Linked DNA regions of Drosophila melanogaster. The protein of the gene in region 3 purifies or fractionates together with the protein of the main gene of each other region. This does not show direct contact. Each region holds a gene or a part of one and is shown on either strand. Other genes may lie near its edges.

The links.
Region 1: the proteins of Vha68-2 (region 3) and Gfat2 purify together in Drosophila melanogaster (affinity purification with mass spectrometry, with the first as the bait; one large-scale study listed by BioGRID). This does not show direct contact.
Region 2: the proteins of Vha68-2 (region 3) and Pcyt2 purify together in Drosophila melanogaster (affinity purification with mass spectrometry, with the first as the bait; one large-scale study listed by BioGRID). This does not show direct contact.
Region 4: the proteins of Vha68-2 (region 3) and CCT6 purify together in Drosophila melanogaster (affinity purification with mass spectrometry, with the first as the bait; one large-scale study listed by BioGRID). This does not show direct contact.

Annotation. Positions count from the first base shown.
Region 1 is NT_033777.3:28,335,415-28,343,619, forward strand, and holds Gfat2 (Glutamine:fructose-6-phosphate aminotransferase 2), read right to left. Parts: upstream 4,352-8,205; 5' UTR 4,133-4,351; coding exon 2,456-4,132; intron 2,254-2,455; coding exon 1,879-2,253; 3' UTR 1,605-1,878; downstream 1-1,604. Other genes in the region: Moca-cyp, read left to right, coding at 5,021-5,324, 5,958-6,045, 6,771-6,800, 6,866-7,005, 7,065-7,212, 7,269-7,395, 7,466-7,660, 7,721-8,205.
Region 2 is NT_037436.4:1,550,178-1,557,409, reverse strand, and holds Pcyt2 (phosphocholine cytidylyltransferase 2), read right to left. Parts: upstream 3,918-7,232; 5' UTR 3,514-3,917; coding exon 3,400-3,513; intron 3,333-3,399; coding exon 3,009-3,332; intron 2,950-3,008; coding exon 2,242-2,949; 3' UTR 2,095-2,241; downstream 1-2,094. Other genes in the region: CG12099 (uncharacterized protein), read left to right, coding at 1-1,138, 1,193-1,347, 1,407-1,841; Pcyt1 (phosphocholine cytidylyltransferase 1), read right to left, coding at 4,784-5,545, 5,609-5,932, 6,122-6,616.
Region 3 is NT_033779.5:12,970,802-12,980,173, reverse strand, and holds Vha68-2 (vacuolar H[+] ATPase 68 kDa subunit 2), read right to left. Parts: upstream 5,853-9,372; 5' UTR 5,731-5,852; intron 5,553-5,730; exon of another isoform or gene 5,428-5,552; intron 4,989-5,427; exon of another isoform or gene 4,951-4,988; intron 4,773-4,950; exon of another isoform or gene 4,705-4,772; intron 4,561-4,704; 5' UTR 4,538-4,560; coding exon 4,462-4,537; intron 4,049-4,461; coding exon 3,351-4,048; intron 3,243-3,350; coding exon 2,265-3,242; intron 2,198-2,264; coding exon 2,105-2,197; 3' UTR 1,567-2,104; downstream 1-1,566. Other genes in the region: Vha68-3 (vacuolar H[+] ATPase 68kD subunit 3), read right to left, coding at 1-62, 126-1,274. UniProt on the Drosophila melanogaster protein: Catalytic subunit of the V1 complex of vacuolar(H+)-ATPase (V-ATPase), a multisubunit enzyme composed of a peripheral complex (V1) that hydrolyzes ATP and a membrane integral complex (V0) that translocates protons.
Region 4 is NC_004354.4:15,743,257-15,750,654, forward strand, and holds CCT6 (chaperonin containing TCP1 subunit 6), read left to right. Parts: upstream 1-3,391; 5' UTR 3,392-3,514; coding exon 3,515-3,651; intron 3,652-4,051; coding exon 4,052-5,516; 3' UTR 5,517-5,715; downstream 5,716-7,398. Other genes in the region: CG8944 (uncharacterized protein), read right to left, coding at 1-1,167, 1,557-1,913, 2,064-2,786; Mvd (mevalonate diphosphate decarboxylase), read left to right, coding at 5,996-6,047, 6,109-6,179, 6,576-6,693, 6,754-7,398.

The DNA.
Region 1 (8,205 bases), on a different chromosome or scaffold from region 3:
TCGGCGAATTGAATTTACTGCCACGGATTTTGCACGATTATATACTGCAGTTTGGGCGAGCGGAGAAAATCCGTTGCGAGGCACGACCAATCGTGAATCGAGAGGTATTATATTATTATGCAGCAGCCACACACAGCAGTGTTCCAAAGAAGAAGAAGAAGTGAGGTTAGATTTTTGCCCCACACAAGAGGAAGAGGAAGCAGCAACACAACGCTAAGCGACCAGGGCTGCCGCAAAGCGAGCTGCCCACTTGCCAAACTGGAGTACAACGTAATGGCATGGCGTTGAACGTAACCGGTAATACGACAGGAAATCGAAGCGAATTAAAGGTGCAAATAAAAGAAACTGCGTTTATAGCTACAATTTGGTTTTATTATACCCTGTGGCCTACCACAATATCCCTGTTTTCGCTTCACCCAATATTATGCAATATCCAATGCACTCGGCTAACGGCCTGCATTGCTGTTAGTGCCGCCCTGGTCGGGCCTTTTAAAACAGCTGATTTCGACTGCAGCTCGCCTCGAATTTCAAAACGATGCACGCGGTCACACACACATACACAAGTTAAGGTTCAGATTGATTTGAATACGCACCAGAGGAGATTGAAATGGAAACAAGAATTGTATTTTATTCCGCTATCTCTCCCACTTCTTGTTTCGTACGTTTCGTATGTTCACTACGCACTTTCCGCTCCGCGTGTTAACACGTACACAAGTGTGTGTGTGCGTGCGTGTGTTGTTATTGTTGCTTTGCTTTTGCTTTTGCGGGTTTCCTTGCACACACACTTTCGCACCACTACGCACCTCGAATCACTGCCTCTCGCTCGCACTCACTCACGCGCTGCTGGGCAGAACGTTACGAATATTATTTATCGGGTTTTTTCGCAATTGCACACACACTCGCTGCGTTATTGGTTGCACCGTACTTGCGCCGTTCACTTGTCTTGTCAATTAACCGCAATTAGTCAATTAATTGGAGCATTATACCGCCGAAACGAAAATCAAAATCGGTTACCAGACATGTGGTTCTACGGGTCCAAAAGAAAAAGAGCAGGGTTGTTGTTCAATTCGTTTGCGTTGCGTTGCGATAGATATCGACCGATGTGATAGCTACGGTTAATAGAGATGTCCCAACCGGCTCGCAACTGATTTAATTTATTTAATGTTGTTTTTAAATATGATTTTGAAATATCTTCCAGAAAGAATTACTTTTCGAGAACAAACTTATTTTTTCCCCATTTACCACTTGATTTGAAATTGAAAATAGGACATTCAAATTTATGCGGCTTATCGATTTCACACTACTTAAGTGCTCGGAATATCATTTATTTTTATCAGAATTTATTTTTATTTAGTTTTATCAGAATTAAATATATATGTAATTTTTCTTTTTCTAAAATTTACAACGTGATTAACATAACGTAAGCAATAACGTGACGTGGCCCTCGTTTTTTAAACATTTGAAACAAATGTTTAATGTCAGATAAGCATTTTTTGTAAAGTGAGGTACATATAGATCTTTGTTTGGTTTTTCCCGTTTTCAAACAAATTTACTGGTTAAACATTTTCCAATCCATTTTTAATTGAAAGCAGCAAAACACTTTTAAAGAAAAACTGGAAATAATTATATTTCAATTGCACATTCACAAAAAGTAGTGGGTCCACAACACAAAGGGTCAGTACAGCTACAAATGTAGGGGTTAAACATATGTGGCTTCAGCCAGAAGGAGCACAAATGGGTTAAGGGTTCGGATTTTGATCCGACAAAATACCAGAAAATTTTAACTTAAGTGCTAGGGTTTGTTTTGTTTTTCTCAGGCAGATACTAAAATGGAATTCTTGAGACGGTGCGAGCCAGTTAGCCAGATAGTTGGGGCGCCTACTCCACGGTCACCGACTTGGCCAGGTTCCTGGGGCAGTCCACGTCGCAGCCGCGGAGCACGGCGATGTGGTAGGACAGCAGCTGGAGCGGAATCACCGTGAGCACGCCCTGCAGGCAGTCCACGGTCCTCGGGATCTGCAGCGAACGCGTGGAGAAGGACATGGTCTCGTTGTCGCCCTCCTCGCAGATTAGGATCGGTCTGCCCTTGCGGGACGTCACCTGCTGCAGTGCATTCATGCACTTGGTGTACACCGGATCCCGCAGCACGATCATCAGCACGGGCATCTCCTTGTCCACCAGGGCCAGTGGTCCGTGTTTCAGTTCTCCAGCCAGGATTCCTTCGCTGTGCATGTACGTCAGCTCCTTGACTTTCTGCAATGAGCAAGTTAATTGATTAAATTCAGCTCATGAAGCGTGGGACAAACATAATAATTAATTTAAGTGCACTTGGCAAATAAACAAGTTAAGTGAATTGTTGACATCGGTTATTTTCCATCATTACGTTCCCATGCATGCATTACGATGCATAAATGAGATTCGATTAAATTATAGCTCAAATTATCAAATGGATTACCAGTGCGCCCTCCAAACAGGTGGCGAAGTTGAAGCCCCTGCCCATAATGAGCAGCGACTTGTGCTCGTACAACTCCTTGGCAAGCTGCTGCACCTGCGAGTTCAGCTTGAGGACAGTCCTAATGTGCTCGTCCAGCTGCGATAGGCCATCGATGATCTCCAAGCGGCGCTGTTGCAGCGAGAGACGATCCTCCGACATGACCAAGGCGAACATAACCAGCGAAATGAACTGGGAGGTGTAGGCCTTCGTGGAGGCCACTCCGATCTCGGGTCCAGCGTTGATGTGGACGCCACAGTGCGACTCGCGGCAGATGCTGCTGCCCACCGTGTTGGTAACGCCCACGATGAGCGCTCCTCGCTGCTTGCAGTATCTGAGCGCCATCAGGGTGTCCGCTGTCTCGCCCGATTGGGAGATGAAGAAGCACACGTCGTCCCGGAAAATGGGCGTGTTTCTGTCCAGAAAATCGGAGGCCAGTTCCACCATAACGGGCAGTTCGGTCAGTTCCTCCAGCAGCTGCCTGGTGGCCACCGCACTGTGGTAGGATGTGCCGCACGCAATTAGCATCAAGCGGCGGCAGCGCTTGATCTCCGGTATGTACTCCTTGATGCCACCCAGAACCACGGTCTGCGTATCGAACCTCATCCTGCCGCGCATGGTGTTGACCACGGATTCCGGCTGCTCGAAGATCTCCTTCAGCATAAAGTAGTCGTAGTTGCCCTTCATGATCTGCTGGATCTCCATTTTCAGCGTGATGATCTCGCGGGCGTGCGGATCATCGGATGATTTGTTTAGGCGATGAATGCTGAGCGTGCCATCGCTCTTGACGGCGGCCACGTCGTCATCTTCCAGGTAAATCACCCGATTCGTGTGCTCTATAACAGCCGATGCGTCCGAGGCGAAGAAGTACTCCACTTCCTTGCGCTCCAGCGGTTGAAACTCGGCGTTGCAATCGCCGGGCGGCAATAGTTGATAGGCCTGCTGCTGCGGCTGACCATGTGGCCGATGGGCCTTGGCGTACAGGATGGGTATGTGATCGGTGGCCAGCTTGGTCTTGGCCTTGATGCCCACCAGAAGCGGTGAGCCTCGCCTGGAGGCCACGCACTCGCCCGGGAAGTGCTTCGACTTGAAGGCGATGGCGAAGGCGCCCTCCAGCTGCTGAATGGCCTGCTCCACGAGCTCGCCGAAAGTGTAGCCAGGATGCTGCTGCCACAGGTGGTGTACCAGCTTGGCAATCACCTCCGTGTCCGTGTCGGACTCAAATACATATCCGCGCTTCTCCAGCAGCGTCTTCACATCCTTGTAGTTGGTTATAATGCCATTGTGCACCACCACAAAGCTATTATCCTCATCGGATCGCTGCGGATGCGAGTTGACCTCGGAGGGCACACCGTGGGTGGCCCAGCGCGTGTGTGCTATGCCTATGTGGGTGTCGATGGGCAGCGAGTAGTCCTGGCCGCGACACACCTCCGCCACCGCATCCTCCAGCACCTTCACCTTCCCGGTGCGCTTCACCAGCATTATGGACTGTGCCTCGCCAGAGTTCAGCGCATCGATGGCTATGCCCGTGGAGTCGTAGCCGCGGTACTCCAGCCGCTTCAGTCCCTGCAACAGGAGATCCAGGACCTCCTGTCGCGACTTGGGCGTCAAGTAGTTTAGGTACGCGAATATGCCACACATTCTGAAATGCGATTGCTTTTGCTGAAATTTGCTGGTGATTCGTGGTTTTCCACGTCGCAATGTTAACTTTCCGGTCAGCTGAGGCTGATCTTACACTTCTGAGGCGGCTGCAATGCGATTGTCGTGTTTTTATCGCGACACTGGCTGGAATTTTTTTTGTTTTTCTCTGATAAACCAACCCAATTATTTGCTTTTTCGGCGAAAAGAACACGTCTTCGCCCTGCTCTCCCGCTCGCACGCACACACGCGCCGCTCTTGCGCTCTCGCTCACGCACACAGCTACAGCCACACGCGAGCTGCCATGTAAACATTGGCTTTGTGTGACCGTATTGCAGCCAGGGATGGAACGGTAATTTAATAAATTATTTTTTTACTATGTATTGAATAATATAATAAACTTTTAAAGCTATATACAAAGATGTTAACTGTGTAAATTGTCTGAAAAAGCTTAATATAATATGACCATAAAGGCCAGATCTCATTTCATAGTTGGTTTAAACGACATTCTGTTTTTCCCAAAAATATGAGCATTGAAGATAATATTTTCAACCCATGTTCTAAAGGTTTTGGAAGTTATACCAAAAAGCATAAAATGATTATTGGTTGCTGAGAGTAATCAATGGTGTATTTTGACTATATATAGCTCAAAGTTTACCGTTTATTTGAGCGTACATATGTATGTATTAACAAATTTAAGAAAATATATATATTAAAATTAATATATCGATACCCGAAAATATGCTAAGCATATTGCACATCGATATTTCTAACTGTATGTTTTTGACATCCCTAGTTCTGAGTAGAGCTGGCAACGCCGACATTGTGCAACTCGAAAACGGCGTGAAATACGTATTAAACAGCATTTATTGGCAGAAATCGGCGCATATAATGACGGTAAACAAACGCGACGCGGGTGCCACGCGACCGCGGTGCTTCTTTGACATTTCCCTGGGCGGCCTGGGCATGGGCCGCATTGTCTTCGAGCTCTTCAACGATGTGGCGCCCAAAACGGCCGAAAATTTCCGCGCACTCTGCACGGGCGAAAAGGGATTTGGCCTAATCACCGGCAAGAAGCTGCAGTACAAGGGTGTGATATTCCACCGGGTGGTCAAGGACTTCATGGTCCAGGCGGGCGACTTCTCTGCGGGCAACGGCACCGGCGGCGAGTCCATCTACGGCGGGACGTTCGAGGGTGAGTTCTTCCGGCTTCCGATTCGATGCCTGCATGCATACATACACGCTTGTGTGTGTGTGCTGCTGTTTGTGTGGGAAAAAATCAATACAGTGGTTATCTGATAAGAAGAACAGAAAACGAAAGGGAATATACAGGGTACTTAAAGTGCAATTAATAAAGAGTCAGTAGGGGGAGAAATGTAATAAAAACACTGTAAATACAGACACCCACATTTGGAGATTTAAAAACTTCCAGCCAATTACATCTAAACTGCACTACAATAATCTACTTAAGTTTAATCTTTGTCGAAAAAAATTAAAACGCTTTTGATATGCCAGCCAAAGTGTACAAATGCCCCATTTAAATGTCAAAAATAAATGTTTACTCAAGCGACTCAATTTAAATTTACATTTTGGCAAATATTTCCATTAGAAAGATAAGGGAATGGTGCACATCATACATCTACATATTGCTAATTATACGTTTGGGTGGAAAATGGGACAAATATGCAAATAGAAGCGGCTTTGGGAAATCCAATTACATGCGCATTAAAAAGTTATCTAGAAGATAACTTGAGTTGCTCATCTCTCTTGGGCTTTAAAGTAACATTTAAAGTGAATTTGGTTTAAACAATCCGATTCCTCTTTCCAGATGAGAGCTTCGAAAAGAAGCACGATCGTCCCTTCCTGCTGTCGATGGCCAACCGGGGCAAGAACACAAATGGCTCGCAGTTCTTTATGTAAGTGCTCTCGACGGAGGACCGTAACCGGCTGGTCCGGACTAACGTGGCCGTAAATTTAGTTTCAGTTCTGTTTCAGGCACCGATATTACAGCTAAACTCTCTTCGTCTTCTTTTTGATCTATACTTAAACCACTGTTGTTGTTCATTAATCTATTGCCATTTAGCCTTAGCCCGTGGGCGTTAAAGTGTGAGCTAGCGTCCCACTGACCAGCGGACAGATGCATCGCAATCTGTCCTCCATCGGCCGATGCACCGCCATCCCAGCATCCCTAGTGCATTTGGTCTGTGGGTCCAAAAACCAAGCGAAAGACGATGCAGGTCTTTCAGCTCCATGGTCTTTGGTCCCTGGGCCTGGGTCTCAGTGTGTGTCTCAATCTCTCTCTCTCTCGCTGTCGGCTCCTTGTGGATCTTTGCGGGAATCTTGGGCTGGATCCTCACGATGGATCTGCCAGATGACAATGTGCTGGCCATGGCCAGCGGCAGCGGCTCTTGCGGTTGGTGGCTTGCCAAAATCCTGTGTGCCACCTCTGCCTACACACCTAGAAACCTTTAAACTTTGTTGCACATGACATTGTCTCCGCCACAACCGACAACAATAACAACAACAACAACTGAAACAACAACAACAACACCGATTTCAACTACAACTGCCTACTGCAGCCCAACAACCAGTTAGCCAAAGTGTAAAGAATATTTTTCTCTTCTTCTGTTTCTCATTGTAGTACAACACAGCCTGCGCCACATTTGGACAAGTAAGTTAGCTTTGAACACGTTAAGTAGATCAACAGATTAATAGCGTCATATTTTCTCGTTGCAGTATCCATGTTGTATTCGGCCAAGTTATATCCGGTCAGGAGTTGGTGCGCCAATTGGAGGGCTTGCCTGTCGATCGGAACTCACGCCCGCTGCAGGATGCAGCCATTGCCAACTGCGGTGAACTAGTTAGACAGACAAAGGGTACGACTGTAATCCATTTTCGCATATCCATTATACTTGACATGCTTCTCGTCACATAGCCAAAAAGGAGAAGAAGCACAAGAGGCGCTCCACGGCCACCGAAGATTCAAACAGCGAGGAAAGTGAGGCTGAAGCAAAGGTCGTGCGCAAGGCCAAGAAGAAAAAACGCAGCCGCAAAGATACGAAGTCGCAAAGCGATAGCGAAGAGTATGTGATAGTGGTTGTTATTTTGTAATTTGTTTCATTTCATTTCGTTCGTACAGCAATGAAACAAGTCGCGGGAATGGAAAACATGACCAGACCCCGCAGGATGATGACGAGGACCGCGAGGAAGGCGAACTGCATCCGCTGGTCACAATTACAAAGATAGATCCTAACGAGATACCAGAGGTAACTGAAGTGGATTCTCTGTTCCTGTTCTTGAATATGTACCCTTCATCCTATACTCTTCTGTATTTAGGTATCGAACAAATTCCTAATGCGCGCAGAGCGATCAAAGTCGCTGGATCGTGAGGAGCGTGGAGCACGCGGGCAGGATCGTGATCGAGGCAAAGATCAGGATCGAGACCGCAGCCGTAACAATTTCGGTTGGTCAAAGAAGCAGGCACCGCCTACATCGCGTAGTGGTCGCATTGTCAAAGGACGCGGAGTGTTTGTGAGTATATAAAACTGTTTGTAACTCCGCACACAATTTCTAAAATGACACCATTTACAGCGCTTTCGCACCCCGTCGCGTAGTCGTTCGCGCAGCACTACGCCACCTCACTGGAAGCATGCCCAGAAGCGCACCATCAAGTTGTCCGACTTGGAGCGCATTGAGGAGGAGAGCAAGATGCGCGAGGAGGAGATGAAGCGGCGCGAGCATGAGAGAAAGCGTCGCCACGAGGAGGCCACAAAGAATCCTAAGCAGTCCTTTTTCGAGCTATCCCATGCCAGCACTTACGGTGGCAAAATAACTCCGGATCGATTCTCTCCAGAGCACAAAGCCAAGTCGAAGGACACCGCAGACCGCGGTAAAGCCAAGGAGAGAGAAAAGGCTGGCGAGAAGGATAAGGCTAGGGATGTGACTCCTGTAAAACGCCGCAAGTCGATGGACATGAACGCCTTGGACTACGAGCAGCAGACAGAATCCGAAGTCGAGTCCGAGGACGAGGAGCAGTTGAAGGTGAAACCACCAAGCAAGCAGGATATCAGAGTGGA
Region 2 (7,232 bases), on a different chromosome or scaffold from region 3:
CTTAACTTCCACTGCGTGCCCAGGGAACTGGAGCGAGGACATCACCATCAGGCCCAACAGCACCACGGCCTGAGTGGCCGAAAGCAGCGCTACAACAAGGAGCAGTTCCTGCAGGCCAACTTTCAGTTCGTCATTAGATCGGGTGCAAAGGCTCAGGTTAATGGCTCGCCGGATGCACTCATCGATTGGAGCTACATCGAGCAGATCAACATACAGACCACTGAGGAGTTGCAGTGCCCCATCTGCCTGTACCCGCCTGTGGCTGCCAAGCTCACCAGATGCGGACACGCCTACTGTTGGCCCTGCTTGCTGCACTACCTCTCGCTGAGCGACAAGACCTGGCGCAAGTGTCCTATCTGCTATGACGCCATCCACGCGGGAGATCTGAAGAGCTGCACCATCGAACAGCTGAGGGATTTGCAAGTGGGCGAGAAGATTACCTTCCAGTTGATGCGGCGTCGCAAGGGCTCCATGTACATTGAAAATCATGTTGCAGGATTGGGCGAAACAATTGAACGTTTCCCCTTTGTGTCCGCTGGTGAAGAGGCTAAACGCTACTCAAAGTTTCTAATAGCCAAGCGGATGGATGTGGCCGCCATCATCGAGAGGGAGCGTAACGAACTGCTAGCCGAATCGGATGTCTCCTGTCCCGAGGATGTGTTCATCCAGCAAGCGCTGGTGATGCTTCAGGAGCGTGTTGAGAAGTTGGGTGTCGAGAAACCTGATCCGAAAGAGGATGAAGAGGAGACAGCACCTGTACTTTGCCTAGAAACCGAGACCAAGATTGATATTGAGAAGTCAGACGATGCCTCCATCTCGTCGGGAGAAGCATCCAGCAGCCTTAGCTACTCGAGCAACCATAATAAATACTATTATTTCTACCAGTCAAACGACGGACAGAATATTTACTTGCATCCCTTGAACGTGAAGATGCTTCAGGCTTGCTACGGCACCTTGGACTTGGGTCCGCTACTCATCGAAGCCCAAATCGTGCAGATGGAACAGCACTCTATGGATGAGGAGCATCGACGCAAGTTCACTTGTCTTGGCCACTTGCCTTTGACTTGTCAGTTTTCGGTTGTGGAAGTCGAATTGCAGCCGCCAGTGGTCACTGGAGGAATACTCAAGCTCTTTAAGGGTAAGTCCACTAGGTCCATGTACAGCATTATGCTTATATGTATTCCTTCCGCAGAGGACATTCTTCATCGTAAGAAGGAACGACAGCGTCGGGATCGCGAGGAGCGCAAGCGAGAGCAGCACATCAACGAGATAAATGACCGCCAGATGGGCAAACTTATTGCCAGTGCAGCTAACCTTGACCTAAGCTCCTCCCATGAGTTTCCCACTGTGAGCTAGCAATGCCTGCCATTAGTGTCAATTATTAATATGTGATATTTTATCTAAAGTGCGGCTTCGAGGAGGCTTTGCCCGCTCCCAGTGGCTCTGTGCCCATGAACATCAGCAACCAGGACCCCGGTTCCCGATACTCCAGTGTCACTCTGGGAAGTCCCAAGCAGGAGATGTGGCCCACTATTGGAAGTAATTCTCCTGGAGGTGGTGGCGCGCCATTGGATGTTCAAGTGGGCGCCTGGGGCCGTTCAGCTCCACCGCCGCCACGGGCTGTAATGGTCCCAAGAACCAGCGATGAGGACTTTGAGCAGCGATCTGTGGGCCACTGGGGTCTGGGAGAACTTTTAGTTGGAGCCTTGGACCAGAAAAAGCAAAAGGTAGGAGCAGCAAAATCCAATGGAGCAGCTCCAGCGGAATCGAAGAAGCAAAAGAAGGCCAAGGGCAAGAAGATGGTTCCCCTGTTCGCCACGGGCATGAACAGAGCTCCATGAAGAGCTAGATGATGATCGCTTATGAAGTTACAAGATTTATTGTATTTTTGTTTTTATGCGAATATTTCAACGTTATTTTAAATAACAAATGCGATTGTTCTATCATTGAAGAGGATTTGGAAAATCATTCAGCTAATCTATAATTTAACCCAACTTATATTCACAATACACATAAGATAACCAATAAAGGCAGCAAGTAAAATATCAAATAAACGCCTTTTTACTTTCTTGCCAAAAGAAATATTCATAATTTAACTGAAATTTATCGGAATGTATTTTAAGCGCATACTTTTTCTGGTAGCTCTTTTAAATATGTATAAAAGTGCCTACTGCGCTGTTCCATTAAACTTCAAACATATTTATTTATGTTTTAATTGATAGGAAGAGGCCAAATTCGTCTTTAGTCGCTGCGTCGCTCGTCTACGACATCCTTATGCTCTGGTTGCTCCGAGTAATTGAGGTTTGCTGAGGCATTCACCTTATCAGGGCGCTTTTGTTTTCGACTAAGGGATACGCAACTACCAGACCCGTAGTCTGGTGGCAGCTCCATGTACTCATCCTCAGAGTCTAAGTCGTCTGTTGCGTCTGGATCGTCACCGTTTACGGAGCCATTCGGACTGCCTGGTGGGCTGAGTGCCTGAATGATTCGGCCCTTGGACTCGTTCCAGAAGGTGTTAAGCCGCTCCCGGCCGAACAGGAGCAGGAAGGCATCGATGAACTCGCGCGACTTCTCCTCCCACTTGGTGATGATGTCAACCTTGACTTTGGTCAGCTCCCGCTTGCCTCGTGTCTTCAGCTCGTCCATCTTGTTCTGCAGACGGAATTTCTTCTCGGAGAGAAAGGAGACGTTGAGCTCCTTGGCTGAGTAGCCTCTGGCCAGGTTCCTGCGCACATATACATCGTAGTCCTTCACGATTCGGGCCACAATGTCCGACGTGGACACGCCCTCAGTGCGTTCCGTGGCCACAAACATTCCCTTCGCTTTGAGTGGAGCATATATGTCGTTGACTCCGCCAGCTCCATAGGGTATGTCATCGTGGGCCACAAAGTCGATTTTGTGCTCCTCGATAAACTCCTCATTTAGCGTCCACGGAGCATTCGGAACGATCTTGTGATGGATCGAAAAGTGTATAGAAACATTTCATTGGTTCAGTTTAACACACTTACCTCATCCACGTAGCGGCAGTGGCGCACCGCCTCGTAGCGCTCGAATCCATTCATAACCGTGCGTCCCTTCATCCTGAGGGTCAGCTCATCATTGCACACGCCGACGATGAGATAGACGTTGGGAAACACATTCTTGGCCTGCATGAGTTGGCGGGCATGGCCTTGGTGGAACAGATCATATATGCCATCTGCATAGACCCGCACCCTGCGCGTCGTCTTCCCAGCTCTGGCCATATGATAGGTGATCCTCTGTGTGTAGTCGCATCTCTCGAGCTCCAGCATGGCCTTGTCATCGTACGAGAAAGGAGCAGGCTGGCAAATGCTCTGGAGGCGTTTTGGGGTAGAGAGATTAGTATGTGGCAACTCCTGTTCCTCTAAGGAGTAGCCTTACAAAATCCTCAAAGTCCATAAAGAGCGGTAGCATCTTAAACTCCATCGGCGATGTCGGTGTGGCAGGAGCCGTCGACACTGGAGATTCGTCGTCCTCTTTCGGCATTCTGTCCATTGCTTATAAAAATATATGTACGAGTATACACAACTAAGTACAGCACTAGTGGTCCGCTCAAGGGGATTTCATCCGGACGACTGATTACATAAATTGAGACGGAACCGGCATAACCCTCTAGGTCTACTCTGTCGAGGATTGAGTCCGAGACTTTGAGCGAGAGATGTCCCCAACTGCGCACTAGCTGCGATCAGAATAAATTGGCGGCAACTGGTGGCGAATCAATACAATTGAGTCCAGCGGCTGGCGAGGCACACGACTTGGAGGCGGCTCTAGCAGTCTCAGGCCCAAGTCTCTGGCTCGGATTCATCGCTCATCTTCAATTGCCGCAAATTGCGGCGCAAGCAAATAGGAAGCAACGGGTCGGTCGCCTGACTTGGCACGGGTCCGCCGATTCGATCAGGCGATGGGTGCGCATCTATATATAAACCGCAGCGCCATTAAACAAATCAGTGAACCGCTTCAAGCCGGTGAATGGGCAGCTAATTGCGAGGGAATGGGTGTCCAATCAAGGCAAACGGTTTCATCATCATCGGTGGCGCGCGCTCAAGAATTCCAGCAGTGCCATGGATGGCTGCTGAATCGGATGCGCAATTGCTGGATAAACGTATGAGATAGCAAACTGATTCACAAGCCACTCGCTTTACTTCTATTTCCTTTCGATTCAATGTTTATTTTTCAAAAAATATTTAACAAAGCATTTGCAATAGTTCCGCTATTGCCAACTGTTACTAATTACTTGTTTTTGTTTTTTGCATTTTCCGAATGTATTTCGTAATTTGTTTGTTTGGATTTCTCTATATTGGTTGGTGTTCTGGTTGCGGTGTTGTTAACTTAGTTTAATGTTATGCGAAATAATTTAATATAAATATTTCTAGATATTTTCGGCACCTGAATCTGCCGCCACTGCCGATTGATTTCGTGCACAGTCCGTCGAGTGCCTAATACAAAAATGAGTCTTTTCCGCGTTGGTGGTTGCTTGTCCCACACACACACACACACAGCTAAATTAGCTACAGGATTCCCTCGATTCTCACAGATGGAGATGGGCAGGTGGAGTTGAGGCAGGAGGAGAACGAGTGCCAACTAAAACATTGGGATTACAATACCACTTAGGGCTAGAGTAAATATAAGTGTGTGTTCGTGGAGCCTGCGTGGCGATCCTGGGGCATCTATAGTGTGCCGTCGAACTAGTTGCAAGCAAGTCCATTTACAATAGCATTAAAGACATTAAGAGAAGAAGAAAAGATCGGGCTGCCCCGCAATAGAATCAATTGCTTCGACGCTCGTACTCCGCATCCGCATCCGCATCCTCGTCCCCATCCGCTTCCAAGTCGGGTGATTGGCTCTGCAGACTCTGGTAACTGCGGCGGGCCAGCGAGGAGCGCTTCTGCTTCGGCCTCTGTTTGCCGTTCAGCGATCCACTGCTGCCGCTGCCGCTGCCCCCGCTCAACTTCTCGGCCATCTCCAAGTACTCGTCAATAGTTTCGCTGTAGTCCTCGCCGCCCTCCGTGTCATCACCGTTCACTGATCCCGACGGGCTGCCCGGCGGACTGAGTGCCTGCAGCAGCTTGCCCTTCGACTCGTTCCACAAATGATTCAGGTTCTCACGTCCGAACAGCAGCAGGAAGGTGTCGATGAATTCGCGCGACTTCTCCTCCCACTTGGTGATGATGTCCACCTTCACCTTGCTCAGCTCGCGCTTGCCGCGCGACTTCAGCTCGTCCATCTTGTTCTGCAGCCGGAACTTCTTCTCGGACAGGAACGACACATTGAGTTCCTTGGCCGAATAGCCTCTGGCCAGATTACGACGCACATACAGATCGTAATCCTTGACGATCCGGGCTACGATGTCCGAGGTGGACACACCCTCAGTGCGCTCCGTGGCCACAAACATGCCGCGCGCCTTGAGAGGAGCATAGATGTCGTCCATGCCATCGGTTACATACGGAATGTCGTCGTGGGCCACAAAGTCGATTTTGTTGTCGGCGATGAATTCATCGGACAGAGTCCATGGCGCATTCTGGACGATCTGCAAGACAGAGTAAGATGCTATAGACTGAAAGATCTCTAATCAGTGCCGGGCAGAACATACCTCGTCCACATAGCGGCAGTGACGCACTCCCTCGTATCGCTCGAAGCCGTTCATCACGGTGCGTCCCTTCATGCGGTGGGTGAGCTCGTCGTTGCACACGCCCACAATTAAGTACACGTTGGGAAAGATGTTCTTGGCCTGCATTAGTTGGCGGGCGTGGCCCTGGTGGAAAAGATCGTAGATGCCATCGGCGTAGACCCTCACCCTGCGGGTCGTCTGTCCGGAGCGGGCCATCTGGTAGGTGATCCTTTGAGTGTAGTCACATCTATCCCGCTCCAGCATGGCCTCCTCGTCGTGAGAGTAGGGCGCCGGCTTGCAAATTGTCTGCAGGAAGAAAAGTTCCCGATTAGTTGGGCTATTCAACTGGACGATTGTGTCCTTGGTCTACACATTCTTTCTCGATCTTATCACACATCGTCGGAAATATACGACTCACGACTCGAACATCAATTTCAAACGATTTCAGCTACTACGATTTAGACTAACTTTGCATCCTAACTCTTGACTACTTACCGCAAAATCGGAGGCCCCGCTGAAGAATTGCTGCGAGGTGGATGCGGGCACCACCCGGTGATTCGGCGACGCCTGCTGCTGCGGGACGTACTTCCGCTTGACGCCGTTGAGGTAATCCGACTGTGGGGGCAGCAGGTCCTCGGCGGCTGCCGCTTCGCCGCCATCGTCGGCGTCGCTTTGTGAGATGGTGCGTGTGCTGTCCCGCAGTGTGGTGGCCGAGGTGGTGGGCTCGCTGGCTCCCTCGCCGACCACCAAGACACTCTCCAGCTGGCCGGGCCTGCTCTTGGACTTGCCGGGGCTGTTTGTGCGCTGATCCTGAACTTCCGATACCTTTGTGGCGCTGCTGGAGGCGGTGGACGAGGGCATGGCAATGGCTATCTCGTAGGTCCGCTTCCGGGTGGTCAGTGTGGAGCCGGGGGACGCGCTGCTGCTGGGCGTGGCCGGTGGCGATGTGCTATTAATTGTGCTTTTGGCGAGTATCGATGAGGTGGCCATCGCAGCGAATGTTTGGGAGCGGCAGTTTTAACGGCTTCGCGACGCGGTGACGGAGGAACAGAGATTCAATTGACTTTCAGCTGGAAGAGATCGAGAAACAGATTGGTTACCATCAATGCTCTACATTACTTTCCCATATTTTGTGTGTTACGTTTCGTTTACATCACATTTAGTCTTATGAAATTATAAAGTTTTTCTTTGAAACCGCATTTGGTTAGCTTTGCATTCTGTTTATATGTAGTTGCAAGCATCATTTATCAAATTTCTTCATTCGCTGGATTTTATTCAAATTTCCCTTTGCCAATTTTTCCACCACTCCAACTTGTAACTTTTAGCCAAAGGGTTAATAAGTTTTCTCAAAAAGGAATAACAATTTTACTTCAATGAACCAACACAAGTTGTATTCTTGTTTTGTTTAATCGACACATATGCACTTGTTTACCAAGCAATTTATAAATAAAATCCAATAAAGCAGTAAACAATTCGAAATAAACAAAGTTATTTTTGAACTACAATTTAATGCATTGGTGCATAAGCAAAAATATATTACACATTCGCGCAGCTAATGGAAAGATACTTTCTTGTGAAACCATTTTTATGTAATCAGATATTCCCT
Region 3 (9,372 bases):
TTCCCGCGCTCACCGCAGCCCACGTAGATGATGACATCTGAGTTGGAGTATTTGGACAGGGCCTAGGGGTATAAGTTGATTGGAATGTAATCATTTGTCAACTAAACTCTTAGAAACCCTCTCACCTGTGAGATGACGGTCTTTCCACATCCAAACGCTCCTGGAATGGCAGTGGTTCCGCCCTGGACACATGGAAAGAAGGCGTCCAGGACGCGCTGGCCAGTCAAGAGTGGTGAATTGCTGGGGAGCTTATCCTCCACCGGACGACACCTCCGTACGGGCCACACCTGGAGCATGGTGTGCTTGGTGATCTCGTCGTTGAACTCCGTCTCCACGATCACCTCGTCCACGCAGTAGTTCCCGGGCGGGGCCAACCACCGGATGCGCCCCTTGGTGCGGGGCGGTAGTATCAGGCGGTGATCGTGCATCATGCTGTTTTCGAAAACAGATCCGTAGATGTCTCCGCCGGTGATCAGAGCATCGATCTTCAATTTTCCGGGTGTGAATTCGTACGCAATGTTCCTGGGCAGGGAGGGCGTATCGATGCCCTTGGGCACGTATATGGAGTTGGTTAGTTCACTGATGGACCTCAATGGTCGCTGGATACCATCGAAAATGCTGCCCATGATGCCGGGTCCCAATTCCACGGAGAGCGGCTTTCCCGTCTGGTAGACGGGATCACCCACGCTCACACCCGAAGTATCCTCGTAAACCTGAATGGTGGCCATATCACCCTCCAGTCGAATGATCTCACCAACAAGCTGGGAGTGTCCAACGCGAACCAGCTCGTACATGGCTGCGCCGGCCATCTCCTCGGCATTGACCACCGGACCGGAGACTCCGAAAATGCGACCCATCGTCGCCTCCTCCTCTTCTTCATCCGACGAATATTTGTGCGTATCAACCACCTGCTCGATCACAAAACCCGAGTCCTCATTCTTCTCCAAGGCGATGTGAGCGCTCTTGTGGGATTGGTCCGTCGAACGTCTCAAGTCCTTCAAACTGTCCTCGTCATTGACTGTATCATGGGGACTTTCCGGCTCGGCTACAGGCTTGCGTGATTGAGGGGGAGGGGGTACCGGATTGGATTTATGGTCATTACGTTGGCAAGCGCAGGTTGGACATGTGCACTTCTTAGCCGGAACCGTTGGGTGAGGCACGGACCTTGGCTCCCCATCTTGGTTTAACGATCCCGAGTTGCGGGCTCTGTCTTCGTTACTTGCGTTACTGTTGGTGAACGAGGTAAGCGGTGCAACCCAGGACTTCTTTTCCATTTGGTTTAAATATATACAATTTTTTCACTTGGTACAATTTTTACTAATATTGTCAAATAAATAAAATAAATGGGGCAGAAGTTTATGGAAAGACTAAGGTGATGACTGAGAATGATATAGGATTTTAGATTATGCTTTTCAATATATTCCCATTTTCTTAGCTTTCATATAGTCAAGTATGTTTATATAATGAAGGTTTAAAATTCAAAAAAATATTTTAACTTATTATCTTTTTATCGAGTTGACACATTTTTAATATCCATTCTGCTGCCAGTGAAATTCACTTTCAATTACATTAAATGTATTTGTTGTTGCACTTTATTCGTACATTTAATATTTCATACTTTAAATATTTACATAAATTTAACAAACAAACAGGGAGAAAACATGACTTTTTTCACAAATAAACAAGAATTTCCATTCATTAAACAATAATACTATTTATGCATGCATTTGTATTTGTGTCTTTTATGTATGTGTTGTGTGTGCGCCAGTGTCCGTGTACTTTTATTCAAGTGTATGTTGGTGTTGTTGTTGTAAATGGAAGTACATAGCAGGACGTTGTAGTTGCTGTTGCCTAGAGTTGCCCTTCAAGGGGCGGAGGGGGCGTGGTTAGGGGAAAGTATTAACCGCAGGCCGGAATGTTTACATCTCTCGCAGGCACCAAGAAGTTGTGGTATTTGTTGGACTTTTGTTTTTCATCGAATGCAGCACGGAATTGTTGGTGTTTGATTAGGCTTTTTCGGATGGTTTTTGACTGCTTTCATTTTTAAACGTTAACTATATAACAAATATAAGATTAGAGTGTAAAAGTAGGGCCAGCGCGGTCTCTAGTCCTCCAGATTTCTGAAGGCCTGCTGCAGGTCCTCGTGCAGCTGCTCGAAGTCAGCCTTGATCTTGGCCTCACCATCCTTAACGGGGTCCTGAAATGGATTGAAAAATGTGGTCACCCAGTGTCTAGGCAATGGATAAATTTGCGTGTTAACCCACCTTGAACTTCATGGATGACAGCTGGTACATAATGTTGCCCATTGCCTCACGAATCACGTTCCAGGTGATCTTGTTCTCAGACTGAGCCGTAGACTCCACGGAGTGACGGGCCATGTCGTAGAAGTCGATGATGTTCCTCAACATGCCCACGGTCTTGTAGAAGGGGCAGAAGCGATCGTACGAGGAGTAGGAGTTCTGCTGCAGGAAATCGTCCTTCAGCAGCTTGGCCACCTCCAGCGTGATCTTGTCGGTTTCGGCCAGAGAGGCCTTGCCGACCAGTTGCACGATCTCAGACAGATCCTCCTCCTCCTGCAGGATCTCCTTGACCTTGGTACGCAGCGGCACGAATTCGGGGAAGTTCTTGTCATAGAAGTCATCCAGAGCACGCATGTACTTCGAGTAGGAGATGAGCCAGTTGATCGAGGGGAAGTGCTTGCGCTGGGCCAACTTCTTGTCGAGACCCCAGAACACCTGCACGATACCCAGAGTGGCGGAGGTCACGGGATCGGAGAAGTCACCACCAGGAGGAGACACAGCTCCGACAATGGACACGGATCCCTCGCGCTCGGGGTTACCCAAGCACTTAACGCGACCGGCACGCTCGTAGAAGGAGGCCAGACGGGCTCCCAAGTAGGCTGGGTAGCCGGAATCGGCAGGCATCTCAGCGAGACGACCAGAAATTTCACGAAGAGCCTCAGCCCAACGGGAGGTGGAATCAGCCATCATGGACACGTTGTAACCCATATCACGGAAGTATTCGGACAAGGTGATACCAGTGTAGATGGAGGCCTCACGAGCAGCCACAGGCATGTTGGAGGTGTTGGCCACAAGGGCGGTACGCTTCATGATGGACTCGGTGACACCGTCGATCTCCACGGACAGCTCGGGGAAGTCACGCAGTACCTCAGACATCTCGTTACCACGCTCACCGCAACCGACGTAGATGATGACATCGGAGTTGGAGTACTTGGACAGAGCCTGCAAGCAAGTAAATGATTTATTAGGGATTGTATTTTTATGAAACTTGAGTGTATGGAGGCTACACGAGGCATCGCTCCTTAAATTCTCAATTTGTGGGACTCTCACCTGCGAGATCACAGTCTTGCCGCAACCGAAAGCTCCGGGAATGGCGGTGGTACCGCCCTGGACACAGGGGAAGAGCGAGTCGAGCACACGCTGTCCGGTGAGCAGGGGGTGGTTGGCGGGCAGCTTCTCGGTCACGGGACGTGGCTGACGCACTGGCCACACCTGCAACATGGTGTGCTTGGTGATCTCTCCATCGAACTCGGTCTCCAGGACGACATCGTCGACCTTGTAGTTGCCGGAGGGGGCGATGTAGCGCACTGTTCCCTTGGCGCGGGGGTTCACAATCATCTTGTGCTTGACCAGAGTGTTCTCATGCACCAGACCGTACAGGTCACCTCCGGTGATGTGGGAGCCGACCTTGACGTTCAGGGGGTTGAACTCCCAGCTGGCCACGCGGGACAAACTGGGCACGTTCACACCCTTGGGGATGTAGATGGATTCGGTCAGCTCGTTAATGTCCTTCAGGGGACGCTGGATACCGTCAAAGATGCTGCCCATGATACCGGGTCCCAGCTCCACGGAAAGAGGCTTGCCGGTACGCAGCACCGGATCTCCGACAGTTACGCCAGAGGTCTCCTCGTACACCTGGATGGTGGCCATGTCACCCTCCAGACGGATGATCTCGCCCACCAGCTCGTAGTAGCCGACGCGGACCAACTCGTACATAGCTGATCCAGACATGGCCTCGGCGGTGACGACTGGAATGAAGCGGTTGGTCGGGTTAGGGGGGCTACATTTCATTCAAGAAGTTTTTATAACTCAGCAAACGAAGATAGGTTCCATTGAACATTTTCTTTTAAAATTTTTTATTATTAATGATACTTGATGATGTTTTTGTTAGAATTATAGAAAAAAGTTTAAAGAAACAATTAATTAATTATTAAAATTATTCACATTTAATTTTGAATAATGAAACCAAAATGTTTGAGTTGTTTGAATATTAATCACAAATAGGTGGACACATTTCTAAAGTTGCCATTATTTCACACAGAAGTGTAAGTTCTAGACTAATCATCAAAGTAAGGTTTCCAGTTCACAGGTATTATTAACTTATTTTTATTAACTTTTAGATAGCATGAGTTATGGTTAGTCAGTATAGTTAGGTGCTTACCAGGACCGGAGACAGCGAAGACACGTCCATATTTGGACTCACGCTCCTCATCATCGAAACGCTTAAGGTTGGACATTTTGCTTTATTCTGTTTTTTCGACTGCAATGGAGGGAAAATAGAAGAGGAAAATTGTTAAATGCTGGCTGCAAAAGGGCGAAGATAAAGGTGAACATTTTCTTATCACTAATTTCTTGCTCAGCCCTCTGTCAGCTGACAAGGGGCAGGTGTATCTGCTACATTTACAGGTTAAGTTTTTGTAGAGCCCACAGCTCCCAAATTTTTCGATTATAGGTTATAAAGTTGTAGGTTAGCAGCTAATAATTTCGATTGATTTAATTATTTTTTTTTTAACTCCCCCTCTTTGATTATGCTGCGTAAAACTTTAAAAGCAGAGCTTTCGTTTCACGTGACAGAGCTTTGAAAGTTCGAAGAGAGCAATTTGTCAAACTAATCGCTAAATAAATAAAATAAGAGCTGTGAAAAAACAACCACAGGTTGACAAATTCAACGGAGGAATGTAACTGAAATGCATGTTTTTCAAAATATGCGGGTTTTCATAATTATCAGCAAAGAAAAACAAGAGAGGGTGGAGTGGGAGAGCAACTCTCCGCTCTGGCTCTCTCGCTCTCCATTCGAGTTCGAATATTTGACAATTGCTTTTGACGTTGATCACAAGACTACTGTCATTGCCGTCAGCTGACAAATGAAAAAAAAGTGGGTAAGGGAAATGGTAAAAATCTTTGGGCCGCCTTTTTTACGTCGCTCGTTCTCCATATTGGTTTTTCATTATCGGAATACGAATAACTCCCACTTCTGTTTCGAGTTTCGAAATGGGAGAGCAAGCGAGCGCAAGAGCGGCGGCGATCACAAGACCCGCGGTGCGACAGGGATGGAGCGAACACGGGGAAGGGGGTCAGCTGACAAGGCAAAATAATTTTCCACGCGCAAATTTTCACGTTTTCATACCGCACTTTTTCAAGCTCCTTGGAAAACTAATTGATATTCGGCTTTTTTAGGGATTATTTTACTCAAGTGTGGACTTGTGCTGCACTTATTATCTAACACACTTGCAGTCTGTGTGCGTGTTTTCGCTCTGCGCTTTGATCGCTGCTTCGTCACTTTTTCGGGGCGAATTCAAGACGGATTTCAATGCCGCTTTCTTTCGCTAATTGTTTAAATCGCCCAGAACCGTCTTCCAGCCATTCCATTATTTATTGTTACTTATTTGCTTTGGGTGGGTGTGTGTGTTGGTGGGGGGGAAGGGCTTACTTTGCTGTGTCTTCGCGTTCACCTTGCGAACGTGTGATTGCTGCTTTTCTCCAACAGAACGAACTAAAACCGACTGAGCCGCAGAAATAAAACGTCGACGCTCGCACTTCGAAAAGCTCTCTACCGCGATTCGATTTCGATTTCGACCCGTGTGATCGCGAGCTTTCCGCGGCGAGCTTGCAAGCGAAGTTGTGAGCTGATATCGAGTGCGAGCGAAGCTTTCGCCAATCGATGTGCGGAAGCGAGATGGAGCGAAAGAGAGCTAAAGAGCGGGTGGGGTCACACTGGCTTAAAGAAGTTCGTGGGTTGATTCTGAAGTTTTGGGAGTAAACGGGATCTTTTCAAAGTTGCTAATATCCAATTATTTTAAGTCCATTTTAAGTCCTCGATGATCAATCGGTCCAAATTAAACAATCATTTTCTTAGCTGCTTATAAAATCAATAATTAATTTGACACTGTATAAACGAGGAATATATAGCTTAAATACAAAACCTGCCATTGTATAGTGTTAAGTGCTCTCAATAAAAATGGCAATCAATTAGATTCCCATTTAAATGTCCAAAAAATGCAATTTTAAACTAATCAATTGTGGAAATTGGCCGGTGCGAGGGTAGACTAATAAGTTCACTAAAGCGCAACAACACGCCGTTAGCAATTATTTTAAAATGTTTATTTATCGTCGTTTCCCCTTTTTTTTTTATTACCATTTTAAGTAAAAAAAAGAAACTGACAGCGGTGGCAAAAACTTTGATTAAAATCCGCATCGTAAAAAGGTATTTGCCAATGATTTAAGTTTTTGCTGCCCTGCCCCTTTGTTTTTTATCCATTATTCTATCTTCCGTTCTTCTAGTTAGGATTCCACGCTTTCCCCACTTTTTTTTTGTGCTGTAGTAATCAATGAGAATGGAGCAGCGAAAAAGTTAAGATTAACCCGATCAGATTGTTTTTATGCTCTTGCGAATATACTTTTTTAACATAAAATAAATAGCACAATATGCAGCGATTATCAGATTTCTTTAAGTGGATTCTCCTTATTTAAAGAGGAAAACGAATGTGCTAATTGAAAATATTGAGAAATTCGCATAACCAAACTATATGTTTATAAGAAGTTTAATGTTTATATAACTTAACCATTTAATTTGTTTTTTATTATATTATTATCTTAGATATTTTACATGTGAGTGTAACAACATAATTGTACTTCTTTTAAATCATAATATGGCTAGAAAACCTCATTTAAATATTTTAGTTCTTGAGTCCATGCTAGTTTTTTTTTCAGTGTCGCTGCACTCAGCTTGATTTAGCTAAATTTTCGGATTGCAGTCAGCAAAAGTGGCAACTACAACGCAAAGCCATGCTAACATAGAAGTCGAACAGCGAAAGCCTCTATGTTCCCGAGATGCGAAGGATACGAAGGACACGCCAGGGGCAGAGGGTAGGTGTGTGAGTTCTGGCTCCCGCTCTTTGCATAACTTATAAATCGATGACGTTGGCAGGCAGCGAGAGCGCATCTCGAGTCGCAGCATTTGCATAATAAGGCAGCAGTGCATGTGGCATGAGGATCTGCCTGCGATTCATTGCAAATTTCTATCAGCCCTGTGAACGGGGATTCCCCTCACTGCAGATGTATGCGTATGTGTGTGAGAGTGTGTGTGTGTGAGTGATTGAGTGACTGAGTGTTTCGGATTCTGATTCGGTGTCAAAATGGCGCAGAAAAGTGCTCGACTGACTCTGCTGAGTGCAGAGCGCCAAAGTGGAATGAATTTGACACATCGAAACTGGGATATGCACCCTTATCCACTCGATTCCTGGGCCACTTTCCAGTGTTTTTCATAGTATGTCAGTGTCCTGGATAAAATCTTTGTCGTGTTTATCACAAATATGTATGCATTGAAATCAGCATTTTTGGCAACATTTTAGTGTGAAAAACTTCTAAGATGTATTCTTGTAGCATCGAAAACTTCGATTGTTAGACCATTTCATTAAACAGAAATGCAATTCTATTTCCAAAAAGCCATATACATATATTCGAAAACTATTGGTTCAGTTAGGCATTAAATGAAATTATCATAATTTAGCGTTCTACTGGCTTCCGTTCGCTGATTTTGATTCATTTTTGAGCTTCAGGCTGTACTAACTTTTGCTCACAAATCTGCATATCATATGTATGTATATATATATTTGTAATAACTTTATGCTCGCTGAGAGATATTTCGACTGCTATCTGCTTGTTTGGCTCGACCTCCATATAGATACATATATGGATAACTGTATACATTAAGTCATAACTTCATTTGGCGGCCATGGGCATTCATTTAGTTTATGTCTGTGCAACTCGGGCGGTACGCGAGTCCCCCTTCACATCGCCGCCCATCTCGATAAATTCATTTGGGTCTTGTTAGGAAGGCTCGGAACCGCCAGCACCGCCAGCAGCCATTGGCCATTGGCTAATCTTGTTGCGCATTGCCATAATTTTCAATTTACATGCACCCAGTGAGACCGACCACCCCCCTCCCAAATTGCCACCCACCTCCTCCCGCTTGGCACCAACAAACGGGAGCTATCCGGCGAGTCAGTCCGGGCGTAATATTGGTCACAATAAATTGACTGCAATGGCACTACCATGTGTGTGTGTGTGTGTGTGTGTGTGCCGAATGTGGGTGTGAGTGTGTGCACTAGAAAATATTTAATACTCAGACATTTATTTATTTAAATTTTATGGTGGAAAGTGGATAGTTGCAGTAAAAGTTTCGTTGAATGCATTATAAATACCATATGAAATTGCGCACATATTATCAGTTTAGTGATTTTCTTATCTAAAAGATAACACGAGCTGCTTATCAGCTCAATGGTACTTAAAAATATGTAGATATCATTAAAGTGAATAGTGCGGAGTGGTAATGATAGACTTGTATGTTTTGAATGCACATTTTAAATATTTGACATATACATTTTGGGTAGAATTACTATTGTATTAATCTAATGGATATTCATAGGTATCTAATAGATCTCAATTTGTTTAATAAGTACTTCCCATTTTTACCAGTGCACTGAGTATCGTGGCAGCCGTTGTCCTTCGCGTCCATTCGCTTGATTATGGCCTTCTGTTACCGCACCTCGTCCCTCGGCGATCGTACCCCTTACTCCCCTCACCATGCCCCATTTCACTGCAGTTGCATTAGGCGTTGAGGTCTCCTTTTCCCCCGTCCCCCTCCCCACTCACTCCCTACTAACGTGGAGTGCAACATTTCGATTTGCGCCATCATCGTGGCCATCGTGTCCTTTGTCCCGGCGTGCCTAATCATTGACACATTCATTGATGCATCCGAGCGCATTCTGGCATATTTACGAGCTGTCCTAATTGTCCCCAAGCAGATGCATCGCCCCCAGCACGCCCTGTTTTCAGGCCCAAAGGGTGCCAGCTCATTTGGCCTTTGGGATCTAATGGTCGAACTACTGCCTTTCGCTGGCCTTCATATGTGCGCATAAATATTTCAATTATAAGCTAGCATGACATAACCCAACGCGCTTGGCTAGAATTTGTTATATAATTAAATAATAAGCAATGCAACTACTTTTTAAATCAAACAATTCAATTTCTAAAGTCTATTGTACATTTTAAAGATTTTCTGATTTAAGGT
Region 4 (7,398 bases), on a different chromosome or scaffold from region 3:
ACCATTGGGTCGATTGTGTCGACGCTTGTGCAGATAGAGGCCGGCCGCTTGGGCAAATGCCGAACCGCATATCTGGCAGACGTAGCGCTTGATCTTGTCGTGGATCTGTTTGTGGTTCTGCAGATTCTTTGTCGACTTGAACGTCTTGCCGCAAATGTCGCACTTGAACTCCTCGTTGCTGTAGTGCTGCTTCAGGTGCTCGAACAGGCTGTTGCGCGCCACAAACGATTTATTGCACTGCGGATAGTCGCATTTATAGCACCGCTCCCGCTCATCCTGGTGGACAATTCGATGCGCATTCAGGTGGCCCGGCGTGGCGAAACTGCGGCGACACACATCGCATCCATACGGCTTGGCAATGTCAGTGCCACCACCACCAGAACCACCACCACCACCGCCGCCAATTCGATCATCATCGTCGACCATGTCATCGGTTGCTTTCGCAGCGTGCCTCCTTTTGCGGCGACTGCCGCTGCCTCTGGACTCCTCGCCCTCGACTCCGATCTCGTCATCTCCCAGGCCGCCCTCCATGATGCTGTGATTAAGCGCCAGCGAGGGCAGAAACAGCTCCTCGTTATGGCGCCGCAGGTGCTCATCATAGTTGGCCTTCTCGCGGAAACTGGCCGTGCACAATTCGCAGTTGAACTTGATCTCGGTTACGCCGCCCAAATGCAACTGCTTGTGGTTATCGAACTCCTGGGCATTGTGGAACTGTATGCTGCAGATGTTGCAATAGTAACCGCCACCCAAACTAGGCTGGTGGGTGAGCATGTGGAGGTCCAGTTCCCTGAGTGTTTGCACTATTTCCGGGCAGTGTGCGCACTTAAATGGCGGAATGTCGTCGTCCATAAAGTGCATCTGATCGTAGTACAAATAGTTCGCAATGAATTTCTTGCCCAGCCTCTCGCTGTTAAGGCGCTCCATCTTCTGTTTGGAGTAATCGAATCGCAGCTGGGAAATGCGCTTTGATATCTGGATGGTGGTCACATCGATCAGCTGCTGCAGTTCAATGGCCATCTGATGGAGTCCCTCGCCGCGTCGCTCCTTGCTGCGGTAGTCGGGATCGAAGCGGTTGTAAAAGCACTGGTACCGCTTCACCATGCTCAGCAGCTTGGCAGTAGACGTATCGTTCCAAATGGCCGAGAAGCGGCGGCGATAGGAGGTTTCCTGTCGGAAGGATGAGAGTTATTGATTGACATTTGATAAGCCCCACAAAACTAACAACTTTGATTAGGCATTTACGAGTTGCATTCTGAGGTAGGAAGGAGGAGAAGAGGACTATTACTGCGCATATGCAGGAGAAATTCAGTTTAAAAATTAATTAGTGGTGTAGAAAAGTCAACCTTTATATTTTCAAGACATTAATTACGATATTAAAGTAAACGGAGGACTTGGTAGTCAGCCACCCAATCACGTCGCTGGATAAATAAATAAAGTCTCTACTCAAGTCGCCCACCTGTTTACGTTAATTAATCCGCTAACAAGGTTCCGTTTCAATCCACCCCCAATTCAGAGAAGCGGACGCATAGGATCGAATTGAAAGGGGAGCCACTAACCTTAACAACAGCATCGGACATCTTATCGTTGTAGCTGTATACCTCGTTGAGGAAGTGCAGCTCCTTGAAGTACCACAGCGTACTGATGTTGGTCTTCTCCAGAGCCATGCGATTGCACTCCCGCTTGTATACCGTGCGCAGGTTGTCCCACTTACGGGTGATGGCGTCCTTGGCCAGCGAGATGTTAAACCGGCTCTTGAACTCCAGCACAATCCAGTCGAGGAAGCGGGCGCGCTTAACGCGATCCCGGAACTGTGCATTGCCGTGGTCCCACAAAAAGGGGTTGCGCTGATACGAGTGGATGAGAAACTGGATCATCTTGCGGTCCTTGATGTGCATCGTAACCTCCCGGTCGCGCTAAGGGGTGGGAAAATGATAAAATCATTACAAATAGGTATATATGGATATTAGTGAAAATTAAGGGTGAAATAAATGTAGCTTTTAAATCGATGGGCGAAAATTTTAACAAAAATATCTGTATGTATATAGTATAAAAATATAACTTACTCCCAGCAGGGACTCCTCCACCATCTCATCATAGCTGAGAAAGTCCGATTCGGTTCCGAAACCACTGTGGTTAACGCCGTCGAATCCAGCAAAGTCCATGTACTCTCCGGAATTGTCGTCCATATAGCTGTGATCCGGATCACCGTAGTCGTCCATGGATGAATCGCCGTCACCGGCGATGAGAAGCTCGCTAGACATGTCCCTCTGGCGCTGCTTTGTGACCTTTTTGCGTGCCCGCGTCTTGGAACTGACCACCGGTACATCGCTTTCGGGTAATATGGCCTCGTCCTCATCGGCCTCGGAATCGTTCAGCCGTTGCTCATCGTCGTCTTCTTCGCCGGCGACCACATCATCATCGCTGCAGGGCAGATCCTGGAGCTCTTGTTTGATGACCATTTGGGGCTCCAGCAGCGCTGTGTCCGCGTCCGTTAAGTCTTCGATCTCGTGGAAGTTGGGCAGATCCCCATTACGACCGGACAGGGACATGGGCTCGCCGAGATTGAAGGGGAGACGGGAGGAGGTATTCGCCACGGACTGGTCGCCCAGGTGAACTGTCTGCATGTGGCCGATGAAGGAGTCGAAGTAGAGAAACTTCTCGCTGCAGAAGATGCAACGCAGGGCGAAGTACTGGAAGTCATCTGTGGCCGTCACCATGCCGCAGTCCTTGGTGCAGTGACGGAAAATCTCCTCGTCGTTGGTACGTGGATACGCCAGGACACTCATCGCGCCGCCTGCGGATCCTCGTCCTGTCCGGTTAACAATCAGAATTCAATTAAGTCTCTTGGTACTCTACGCTGCGGTCGGCGCACTCTAGTATTGTGCCTTATTTTGACTTGATTTTATCCCGATTTGGCCAATAAAAAAAAACTTTTTAGTGTTGGGGTTTGGGCGCACGGTTGCATTTCATTTGCTAATCGCCATCGGTGGTCGCAGGTGAGCCGATTAAATTGTGCGGCTTATTTTGCAGTGATTTAGCGGGAAATAGCCATTACTAGCGGGAAATATATTACCACCCTTAAGACCTTCTTTAATACTCATAATCATATAATCTTTGTAAATAACTTAGATATTAAGAATCGCTTAAATTGATACCGATTAAATTAAGTTGCCCAAGAAGGGTAATGGTACGCTAGTCAATAAAATAATTTCGTTTAATAAATTTAAATAAAAAAAAAGATATATATATGAAACATTTTTTAAATGTCATTTTGCATGTAAGCCACCACAACGAAAAATCTAATTAGAAATAAATAAAAGTGTTACAAATTGGAAGTGATTACAATACTATCGATTGTACTGCTTTGAAGTCTCTAGTTGTCTTTCCCCCATCTGGTCACACTTGCCATCTGATTTCTTCGATTCGCCTAACTTTAAGCGTGCTTGGATTTGTGCCGATTCCTATTGATTTATTTTGCCGAGCTAAGAAAATCTCTGTTTAATTGCGACACGCGATGGCTTCGATTAGCTTGCTGAACCCCAAGGCCGAGTTTGCCCGCGCCGCCCAGGCTCTGGCCATCAATATCAGTGCCGCCAAGGGACTGCAGGATGTGATGCGCACCAATTTGGGACCCAAGGGCACCGTTAAGATGTAAGTTACTAAAACCGGCCTCTAATATCCCTCACTTTGCGTTCCATTAGCAATTTGAGTGAGAATGCTAGTTTATAGGCGAAAAAACAAACGTTTTGGTCACAGCTGCGGCAACTGCAAGTTTGAGGTTAGACTGGAACTAGCGGCATGCGTCATCGCAAAAGAAAGAAAGAGAATGTTGCAACTCTGGAGCAAAAAGCTTAGAATTTAGGTGTTTTTATTTAATTTCAAAAAGAATCTTAAATGAAAGATGCCCCCAGAGGCTTTAATTTATTCATAAATGTGTGTTTACCTGCATATCCAGCACCGGGTGATTCAGAAAGTGGCATCGAAAGAGGCGTGACTTGACTCACGCGCCGTGAAAAGTGAAACAAGCATACTAATTCTAGAAACTTCGCAGGTTGGTTTCTGGCGCCGGCGACATCAAGATCACCAAGGATGGCAATGTCCTGCTGCACGAAATGCAGATCCAACATCCGACTGCCTCTATGATTGCCAGGGCCAGCACGGCCCAGGATGATTCCACCGGCGATGGAACCACCACCACTGTGATGCTTATTGGCGAGCTCCTGAAGCAGGCCGATATCTATCTGTCCGAGGGACTGCATCCTCGCATCATGACCGATGGATTCGAGAAGGCACGCGACAAGGCATTGGAGGTGCTCGACCAGGTCAAGGTGCCCGTGGAGATCAACAAGAAGAACCTGGTGGAGGTGGCCAACACAAGTCTGAAGACCAAGGTGCATCCCGCCCTTGCCGATCTGCTTACGGACGTCTGCGTGAATGCCGTGCTGACCATTGCCAGTGCCGATAAGACCAAGCCCGTGGACCTCCACATGGTGGAGCTGATGGAGATGCAGCACAAATCCGATACCGATACACAGCTGGTGCGTGGACTAGTCATGGACCATGGTGCTCGCCACCCGGACATGCCGAAGCGTTTGGAGAATGCCTACATCCTTACGGCCAATGTCTCGCTGGAGTACGAGAAGGCCGAGGTCAACTCTGGCTTCTTCTACAAGACCGCCGAGGAGCGTGAGGCCTTTGTGCGCGCCGAGCGCGAATTCATCGACCAGCGTGTGAAGAAGGTGATCGAATTGAAGCGCTCCGTGTGCGATGGCACCGACAAAACCTTCGTCCTGATCAACCAGAAGGGCATCGACCCCATCTCGCTGGACGCCCTGGCCAAGGAGGGCATCCTGGCCTTGCGTCGCGCCAAGCGCCGCAACATGGAGCGTCTGTCTTTGGCCTGCGGTGGCACTGCAATGAACTCCTTTGACGATCTGCAGGAGGAGCACTTGGGATACGCCGGTGTGGTGTACGAGCATGTTCTGGGCGAGAACAAGTACACTTTCGTTGAGGACTGCAAGAACCCGCTGTCCGTCACGATCCTGATCAAGGGTCCCAACAAGCACACGATCACCCAGATCAAGGACGCCATCAGGGACGGTCTGCGTGCCATCAACAACACCATTGCCGATAAGGCTCTGGTGCCCGGAGCTGGAGCATTCGAGGTGCGCGCGTACAACGAGCTGGTCGCCTTCAAGGACACCATCAAGGGCAAGTCCCGCCTGGCAGTGCAGGCCTTTGCCGATGCCCTGCTGGTCATTCCCAAGACGCTGGCCGTGAACAGCGGCTACGATGCCCAGGACACAATCGTCAAGCTGACTGTTGAGGATCGCCTGAGTCCCGAACTGGTCGGCCTGGATCTGGCCACCGGGGAGCCCATGAAGCCCGTGGATCTGGGCGTCTACGACAACTACATCGTTAAGAAGCAGATCCTCAACTCCTGTTCGATCATTGCCAGCAACCTGCTTCTCGTCGACGAGGTGATGCGTGCGGGCATGACGAGCCTCAAGGGCTAGTCCCCATCATTTCATCCGACCCATTCAATTTAACCAAGTTAATGCACCGCATGCTACTCAACCCGCGTCTCTCAAAGCCACACACAACCAAAAGAAAACTAAACACGTAAATAATTTGGAAACACATGAAATCGGAATGGTTGCGGCTGCAAGTATTCACATTTAAAATACAATTCTAATAAATACAAAAACCAAACACAGCTCTATGCTTAACGCTAATGTATTTTCTATTTTTATTAACACTAATGTTTACTCACTACAAACTTTCATTGGTTTAAAAATAAATGGAAATAGCGATTTAGCCGTGACTCAAACCTCAATATGGGCGGTAATTGGGGAATACCCACAACTACATTTTTTGGGGCCACATGGTATATTTGAAGAGTCCACTGGGTGGTCACACCGCAGTCAACAGTTGTCGCTTTCGCTGGAAAGCAGCTGAAAACAAGTGAATTTCTGAATTAAAAACATTTTCAAACATGTTTTCGGTTACTTGTGTGGCGCCCGTAAACATAGCGCTCATCAAATATTGTGGGTAAATTAATACATATATTATAAGCACATAAACTTATGCACATGCATTCCTTTAAAGGGGGAAAGCGGCACGAAGAGCTAATTCTGCCCGTCAATGATTCCATTAGCATGACTCTGAGCACCGATGAGGTAAATATGAAAGATATTTAAATATTTATTTGCGTTTTAAAACCAACAAATTGTAATTAAAAAATTAAAAAACCTTAGACGCTTTTAATAATGGTTTAAGTTTAAAGTGCGCGTAGTCGAAGTTTTCATTTTCTCACAAATGTAAATATTACGAAAACTTTCTATTTAATTTGGGAAGATCTCACGGATTTTCACTTTTCACCGATTCTCTCTCTTTCGATTTGTGTGGACACTGAATTTGCTTAAGATTAAAATGAAATTACTAACTTAAAAAAAATGGGTTTTTGAATATGGGTTGTTCGAAATCCTGTAATTTCTAACTTATTTTTTGAAATAGCAATCTATCGAGACTTTTAAAATCTTGAACAATTACCTTTCTTGATCCCATCTCCCAAGCTCTGCGCCAAGACAACAGTGACTGCATCGGAATCCTTTGAAACGAATCGCATGTGGCTGAATGGGGAGGAGGTGCCTTTTGAAGAGAGTTCCCGCCTGCAGCGCTGTTTGAATGAAGGCGAGTTTATAGTTATATATATAAAAGTATAGAACTTTAATGTAAAAAATGCACTTGCAGTTCATCGATTGGCTGTGGCGAGTGGCTCCCAGAAGGTTCCGCCAACCTGGAAGCTGCACATCGCATCGGTAAACAATTTCCCCACCGCCGCCGGACTGGCATCCAGTGCAGCTGGCTACGCCTGCCTGGTGTACTCCCTGTCCCGACTCTACGATATACCGCTGAATGAGGAGCTGACGACGGTGGCGCGGCAAGGAAGTGGATCGGCATGTCGCAGTCTGTATGGCGGTTTTGTGCAGTGGCATCGCGGAGCTCTGGATGATGGCAGCGATTCGGTGGCGAGGCAAATAGCTCCATCCGACCACTGGCCCAACATGCATGTGCTCATCCTGGTCGTTAACGATGCACGCAAGAAGACTGCCTCGACAAGGGGCATGCAACAGGCGGTGAAGACGTCTCAGTTGATCAAACATCGCGTGGATCAAGTGGTTCCCGACCGGATTATCCGATTGAGGGAGGCCATCGCAAGCCATGACTTTCAGGCATTCGCCGAGATAACGATGAAGGACTCGAATCAGTTCCATGCCATCGCCCTGGACACCTATCCGCCGTGTGTCTACATGAACGATGTGTCGCACAGTATCGTGTCCTTCGTTCACGATTATAACGAACGAATGGGTAGCTATCATGCCGCGTACACCTTCG